2 linked regions of the Sus scrofa genome follow. The protein of the gene in region 1 purifies or fractionates together with the protein of each later gene. This does not show direct contact. Links are inferred from orthologs where the notes say so. Each region holds a gene or a part of one and is shown in the gene's direction. Other genes may lie near its edges.

The links.
Region 2: the proteins of CDC42BPB (region 1) and FAM167A purify together in Homo sapiens (co-immunoprecipitation; 3 studies listed by BioGRID and IntAct, counting the BioPlex papers as one, with this or other methods). This does not show direct contact. The link is inferred for Sus scrofa from reciprocal best matches to the Homo sapiens genes CDC42BPB and FAM167A.

Annotation. Positions count from the first base shown.
Region 1 is NW_018084979.1:1,675,476-1,679,277, reverse strand, and holds part of CDC42BPB (serine/threonine-protein kinase MRCK beta), read left to right. Parts: intron 1-1,324; coding exon 1,325-1,569; intron 1,570-1,644; coding exon 1,645-1,750; intron 1,751-2,376; coding exon 2,377-2,501; intron 2,502-2,711; coding exon 2,712-2,817; intron 2,818-3,802. UniProt on the Homo sapiens protein: Serine/threonine-protein kinase which is an important downstream effector of CDC42 and plays a role in the regulation of cytoskeleton reorganization and cell migration. Regulates actin cytoskeletal reorganization via phosphorylation of PPP1R12C and MYL9/MLC2.
Region 2 is NC_010456.5:14,664,875-14,668,776, reverse strand, and holds the start of FAM167A (protein FAM167A), read left to right. Parts: upstream 1-1,282; 5' UTR 1,283-1,616; intron 1,617-3,902.

The DNA of each region.
Region 1 (3,802 bases):
GTCCACCATGTGGGACTCGCCCTAAGCGCCTCGCACCCTCCCTCGGGGCGGCTCCGGAAGGGGCAGGCTGGGGATGGGCCATGAACTTGGTGTGAAAGCTCATACCAGCTTTTCACTTTTAGACACTAGGTTTGAAGTTCCCGTCATGGCTCAGCAGTAATGAACCCGACTAGTGTTCATGAGGACGCGGGTTCGATCCTGGCCTTGCTCAGTGGGTTAAGGATCCAGCGTTGCCGTGAGCTGTGGTGTAGGTCGCAGCCACAGCTCCAATTCAGCCCCTAGCCTGGGAACCTCCATGTACTGCAGGTGTGGCCCTAAAAAGACAAAACAGAAAAAAAGAAAACAGGTTCTTTGAGGTCTTTCCCCGGATGAGTGTCTCAGGCAGCCTGAGGCAAGTCCTGGTCAGCTGACACCGAATGCTTTCTCTGCAGCTGGGGCTTCTGCATTCAGTGGAGTCCATTTCTGGAAAAGCTCCTCACAGCCCATGTCCAGCCTGGTCGTCTGGGGCCGCAGGGGGTGGGGGGGTGGGCAGGGGGGGGGCTCCTTGTTCCCTGCAAGACGTCAGATACGGGGGCCGCTCTCTGGGCCTCGGGTCCTCATCCGTGCGGTGGAGACAGTGGGTCTTCTCCCCCCCCCCCCCCGAGCCCTGCACCTGGCCCATCCCCCAGCTCACACCCGAGGCCCCTGTTTGTGTTCTTCAGCTCTGCTTCCACCGCGGCAGCCTTTGCCGGACTGGCTGCCCTGTGACTGAGCCCCCTGTCGGGCTCTGCCCTCTGCAGTGCCCTTCTCCCCGCGGCTTGTTAAACCCCAGTCAGCCCAGCGTGTCCACGGGGCCCGGATGGCTCCCTGCCGCCCTCCAGTGACAGCAGCCTCCTTACCTGGTGGCCCTTCCTCCTCGCTGGCCTCACCCCATCTCCCTGACCAGTTCTCCCCCCTGACGCCCACCTAGTGCCTCTGCCCTTGCGGCCCCCTGACCCCCCTCCCCTCCCTGCGCTGAAGCCCTTCCTGGCGCCAGCTCACCTCCTGTGCCACCGCCTCAGCGGCGCCCCTAACTGCCCGTAACCCTTTCCGGAGGGCCTGCCTCTCAGCCCTGGGAAGGTCCCTCTTGGCCGAACGGGTCAACAGCCCAAGGGGACCCCGCGGACCGTTGGTACCAGAGCGTGAGACGGAGGCAGCTGCGGCCTTGGCATGGCGCCTGTCCTGCGTGGGGCGGGGGCACAAGGAGCCGTGCTGGCAAGAGCCCGCATGCAGCCAGGTGGTGGGTGACCCTCGGCCCTCGGGGCGGGCACGGAGGTGTGCACTTAACCCCGACCCCTGTCTGCAGATGAAGCAAGGAGGCCGGGGGCCAGGCGCCGCCTTGGAGCACCAGCAGGAGATTTCCAGGATAAAGTCTGAGCTCGAGAAGAAAGTCCTGTTTTACGAGGAGGAGTTGGTCAGGCGGGAGGCCTCCCATGTGCTGGAGCTGAAGACCGTGAAGAAGGAGGTGCACGACTCCGAGGGCCACCAGCTGGCCCTGCAGAAGGAGGTGCTGGTGCTGAAGGACAAGCTGGAGAAGTCCAAGCGGGAGCGGTAAGTCCGCACAGCGCGGGGCCCGGAGGGCGCCGGCCGGGCCGGGCTCCTGAGCCTGTGCCCTCTGCTTCCCAGGCACAGTGAGCTGGAGGAGGCCGTGGGCACAGTCAAGGACAAATACGAACGCGAGAGGGCCGTGCTGTCCGAGGAGAACAAGAAGTTAACTGCTGAGAACGAGAAGGTAACTCGAGGGATCTGAACCGCCGCTGAGCGGTTTTTTTCATTCTTGAGTCTTAGAAGTTTCGTGTTTTCAACACTCTAATTTTTAAATGAAACATGTTTGATCTTTTAAGTGGGGTGTTTCCATTGGGTTATGCTAACTATCTGAAACCACTCACTCTTGTTTTTTGTATGTGCGTGTGTGTCTTTTTGTCTTTAGGGCTGTACCCGTGGCACATGGAGGTTCCCAGGCCAGGGGTCCAATTGGAGCTGTAGCTGCCAGCCGACACCACAGCCACAGCAACGCCAGATCCAGGCTGTGTCTGTGACCTACACCACAGCTCACGGCAACGCCAGACCCTTGACCCGCTGATCGAGGCCAGGGATCGAACCTGCAGCCTCATGGTGCCTAGTGGGATTTGTTTCTGCCGCGCCGTGATGGGAACTCCTCGCTCTTGTATTGAAATGCGACTTAAGTTAGATGTGATCAGAAAGTTCACGTTGGAAACTTAGTTTGGAAAAATCTCATAATAATTTTTTAAAAATGTTTCAGGTATTCAGAAAAAGCTTGTAGTTTTGATAATGGTAACATCTCGTGTATGAAGGATGCCAGATAATGAGTCACGTGCCGCAATTGTTTGATTTCAGCTTTGTGCCTTTGTGGATAAGCTCACAGCTCAAAATAGGCAGTTGGAGGACGAGCTGCAGGATCTGGCGGCCAAGAAGGAGTCGGTTGCCCACTGGGAAGCCCAGATCGCAGAGATCATTCAGTGGTGCGTGTGCGCCGCGGATGCGTGACGTCTGGGGCAGCAGCCCTGTCCAGGAGCGTCACGTTGGACTGAGGGCGTGGGTCGGGGCCAGGGCTGGCCTTCGCCCACACGGCGCCGGCTTGTCACAGGCGATGGGGTGACGGCGCTGTGCAGTCGGTCCCGGGGCGGGACGCCCAGGCGCCTCGCGCTCACGGGAGGGTGTTCCTCCCGCAGGGTCAGCGACGAGAAGGATGCCCGGGGCTACCTTCAGGCCCTCGCTTCTAAGATGACTGAGGAGCTGGAGGCGCTGAGGAGCTCCAGCCTGGGGTCGAGGACACTGGTAGGTCCGCTGCTGAAACCGAGTTTGTGCTGCGTGGCGCCATCCCTGGCTCCACTTTGATGTGGGCGAGGCAGGTGCTCCAGGGAGGCGAGGCTTCCTCGCCCCAGGGGGTCACCCCGTTCGAGGACCCCAGCACCTTGTGGGTCCAGAGCCACAGGTTTCTTTGATGCCATCATTTATTTAGCAAGGCCCCATTGAGTCCCAGGCTCTGGGGAGAAGCCTTAGAGCAGCGGGACTAAGGAGGTTTCGCTGTGTTAATGAAATGACCCGCCCGTCCGTTCAGCAATCTGTGATTCGGGGCGCCCAGGGTGGCGAGTGCCGGGGTGTCGCCGAGGACCCCCGGAGCCCCCTCTCCTTTGGTCAGTCTTGCAGCATCGCTAGGTGGGGCCCAGCTCTGCTGCTCCACGTCCTCCTCTGGTTGTCCCCCGAGCCCGAGACGCCTTCCTCCGTCAGTCGCTCTCTTCCCTGTTATGGAGGAGACATGAAAAATTCTCCACTGAATTCAGTGAAAGCCTAAGGAAAAGTTTACCAAGGTGATCTCTCCAGATTTCCTGTGTAATCCTCTTTTTTTTTTTTTCCTTGCTTTCTAGGGCCGCACCTGCAGCGCATGGAAGTTCCCAGGCTAGGGGTCAAATCAGAGCCGTAGCCACCGGCCTACGCCACAGCCACAGCAAGGTCAGATCCGAGCCACATCTGCGACCTGCACCACAGCTCAGGGCAACACTGGATCCTTCGCCCACTGAGCGAGGCCAGGGATCAAACCCTCATCCTCGTGGACCCTAGTCGAGTTCATAACCCACTGCGCCACGACAGGAGCTCCCTCCTGTGTGCTCTCGATAGTCGATGAACTACGCGAGGCAAGAAGAGGGCTGGTTTGCTTCACTGTTGCCTCGTCCTTCTCGGTCGTCGCATTCTCCCTTGCTCTTACTGTCTTAGTCTTGCATCATAGGTAGTGACGACCCGACTATCAGGATGAGGAAATAGC
Region 2 (3,902 bases), on another chromosome or scaffold:
TAAGGTGGGAGGTCCCAGGAAAAGGCACTCCCCAGCCCTCCCCTCTCCCCCCAACTGGAGTCTCCTGTCCACAGTCAGGACCCATCCTAAAGTCCAGGATGGGGCAGCACTGGCCACTGTCTGGAATGTATCTTAGGTGCCTGGAGCTCCAGGCTCTGGTGGAACAGGGACAACTATCTCTATGGGTTGACACAGCACACAGTATTCTGTGCCACCAGGCAAGCTGTGGTTAGTGGGGCGAGCACATGCTCTGGGGCCGGGCAACCCCCCCAACCCCCTACCTCCCAGCTGGTCTGGGAGACAGATCTGGAAAAACATTTCTTTCTTTCTTTTTATTAGGGCCATGACCTGGGCCGTGTGGAAGTTCCCAGGCTAGGAGTGAAGCTGCCAGCCTACACCACAGCCACAGCAATATGGGATCCAAGCCGAGACTGTGACCTACACCACAGCTCACAAAAATTCTGGATCATTAACCCACTGAGAGGGGCCAGGGATCGAACCCCCATCCTCATGGATACTAGTAGGATTCGTTTCCCCTGTGCCACAACTGGAACTCCAGAACATCTATTTCTTTTCTTTCTTCTTTTTTTTTTTTTTTTTTTTTTTTTTTTGCTGTTTAGGGCTGCACCCACTGCATATGGAGGCTCCCAGGCTAGGAACCGGCCTATGCCACAGCCACAGCAAAGCGGGACCTGAGCCTCGCCTGCGACCTACCCCCACAGCTCACAGCAACGCTGGATTCTTAACCCACCGAGCGAGGCCGGGGATCGAACCCTAAACCTCATGGTTCCTAGTCGGATTCGTTTCCGCTGAGCCATGACGGGAACTCCCAGAGCATCTATTTCTACTTAGTCTCTCTGAGCCTCAGTTTCCTCATCTGTAAACTGGGGACACCCACATCTGCCCTGCGAAGTCGCTGTGATGGTGGGGCCCTCAGTAGGAGCTTTGCTGCTGGTAGTAGGAACTTAAGCTGCTGGTGGGTGGAATGAAGGCGCTGGGCCTGCCGACGCGGCTGGAAGGGGGTTCTCCTGCCCGCTCCCCGCAGGCAAACTGCTGACGGTGGCAAAGCCACGTTGCCACTCTTGGGTGAAAACTGCCTTGGTTTCTTGGTTCTTGGTTTTTTTTTTTTTTTTTTTTTTAAGTCTATTTGGGTTTGGTTTCATCTAGGGTTTGGCCATCGCGTGTGGTTTGCTTCTACTTGAGGCGGGGCGGCGGCTGGCGCGCAGGTCCTGGCCAGGAACAAACAGCTAGAAGGGCTTTAGGACCCGGGGCGTGTCTCGCGGCCCCGGCGCGTCCCTGGTCCCCGGAGCTGCGGGCGGGGAGACTTGAATGAGAGGCAGGAGGGGATAGCGACTCAAAGGGCTAGCGGTGGAATAGCTCCGCCGTCGCCAGGCAACCGCCCTGACGCAACGCAAAAAAAAAAAAAAAAAAAGTCCCTTAAAAAAAAGAATAGTGCTGAGAATTCACAGGAACAAGAGCAAGAGAGAAAGGGAGGCAGAATACGGCTCAGCCCTGAAGCCGGGGCCAGAGGAGGCTGCGGAGCGGGAGCCCGCGTCGAAAGGAGGAAGCGGGGATCTCGGTGACACCCCTAGAAGGGGCCTCTGAGCACCAGGAAGGTGGGTTTGCAGCAGAGCTGGGACAATCCCAGGTCTGGGGACCGGGCTGGGGGTGATGTGTCTGTGGCCGTGGCACCATCACAGGTGGGGGCTGGGGTGCCACAGGTCCCTAGAGCTGGCAGCGGTGGAGAGCAGCCCAGCCCTGGGCTGGGGGCGCACCACCCCAATGAGCCCTGGATTGGACATCTTGCACCCGCCCGCACTCCTGCCCTGCCTCACCCTCTCCTGGGGGCTGGCTCCTCTCAGGGGGTTAGGACAGCCTGGCTGGAGTCCATCTCCGGTCCTGGCTAAGGGATAAAATCTGGGTAGAGATTTGGGGTTTGATGTCTGAAAGGGAGGAACCCCACTCGGTTTCTCTCCAAGCCCACCTCGTCCCCTCTGTCCACTTTAGGCTCAGTGATGTGGTTGTCTCTGCCCCAAGGATGCAACCCCTAACTCAGGAGAAGTGCCGGGAAGGGCTGAGGCCAGTGTGGTCAAAGGGAACTGCCCAGCGGGAAGGGCCCTGAGGAAAGAGCAGGACAGCTTTGTGGTTGGGCACCCAGGTCACTAGGAGAAGGCGGGAAGGTCTGCAGCCCGAGGCAAAGGGACAGGTGTCTCCATGCCCCAATCAGGTTGAGAGTTCTGCTTTGAAAAAAATTCCCTATTGCCTTTATATGTTTTCATCCCTTTTTCCTGCTGAGATCTGGAAGCTGCTTAGTTCCAGGACCAGGGGCCACCACCAGTCTTAAACTCACAGGCGTGTTCTCCCAGATTAAGTTCCCACCAGCTCCCTGCTGCCATTCCTGGTGAATCCCATAGGGCAATCCTCCCAGCGCCCAAGGGAGGCGTGGCTCTAAAGCAGCTTCCTTTCCTTTGCCCTGGAGACCGCCCCGCCCTGCCCCGCCCCCACCCGGCAGGGGATGGAGAGTGGAGAGCTGGGCAGAGTCCTGGGAGGGCAGGGGGGCCGTGGCGCCTCCAGCCCACATCCACAGGATGGGAGCTTCCGCTAGCGTGTGTATAAGGCACTTGGCAAAGCAGCCACAAGCTGCACTCCAAGTGTGTGAGAATGACAGCTCTTCCTCCCTGACTGTGTTTACCGATCAGGCACTGCTTGAGAGCCTTTCACACCCACTGGTCATTTTATCCTCACAATCAATTGCCCTTTGAGGGGACATTATGCCCCCCATTTTGCCAGTGGCTCTCCAAGAGATTCAGTAACGCGGTGCAGCTCATGGGGCTGGTGAAAGAGCTGAGAGATTCAGCTCCACGTGCCTGACTCATAAGACAGTGGTCTCAAAGGGGGGCTGCTTTTGGAGATCCAAGCCAGGAGGCCTGGGGGTAGGGGAGAAACCAGTCAGACCCAGAGGAAAAGAGGCTTGTGTGGCAGAGCTTGTCCTGTGACCTGGGAATGTCCCTTGCCATCTCGAGGGCCCTGTGGAGCCAGAAAGCAGCCAGGCTCCCCTGAAGCCGAGAGAAGGGTCCCCCCCTCGCCCCCTTTTCCTCCCTGCCTGCCCAAAGACCCCAACTTCTCATGCACTGGCTCCTGTTTTGTCCTCCCCAATTACATGCGTGGATTTCCACTGAATTAACAGTCCCGCCTCCCTATCTACAGGCTTGGCATCCTTCCAGGAGGGATGCTGGCAGGGAAGTAAATTGAAGCAGTGCCTCACTATGGCTGAGAGAGAGAGAGAGCCACTGAGCCCCAGGCCAACCAACAAGAAACTGCTTGTTAGGCTTCTCACACAGGCAGGCAGCTTTCTCTAGGTAAATTTTGCTGGTGGAAAACTCCCTTGGTGTGCCATAGGAGCGTCTGGAATTCCCAGAAGCCTCTAGGAGCAGTGCTCTCTCTCTGGAAAGGGCTCTTTGCTTGCCTGGGATGGAGAGTTGTTTGCAAAGGTGGATGATGAATGATCATTGGAGCTATTTGCTCCCAGCTGACAGAGTAGGGGGTGGGGGAGTTCTCACTCATAGGAAATCCTTTAGGATTTACTGGGAAGGCTCAATATGCACATGTACGCTGGGATTTGGATTGGGGTGAGAAGAAAGGAAGGAAAAAGGCAAATTCTGATGCAGACCTCAAAGGGGGTGAGCAGGGGTTAAACGAGAGTGGTGGGCATGAGGACCCGGAAGGAGGAGGACCCAGGAAGTGGGCCAGGGGTTTAGAAGGAACTCTACCTTCGGTCTGTAGAGTTTGAGCTGCTCCAGAGAGTCAAGTTGTCAACATGAGTTAGGAAGACTGCAGGTGTCAGCTCTTGCATGGTCATGTGTGAAAGCCCAGGGCCTCCCTACTCTCCCCCCAAGCCCCTC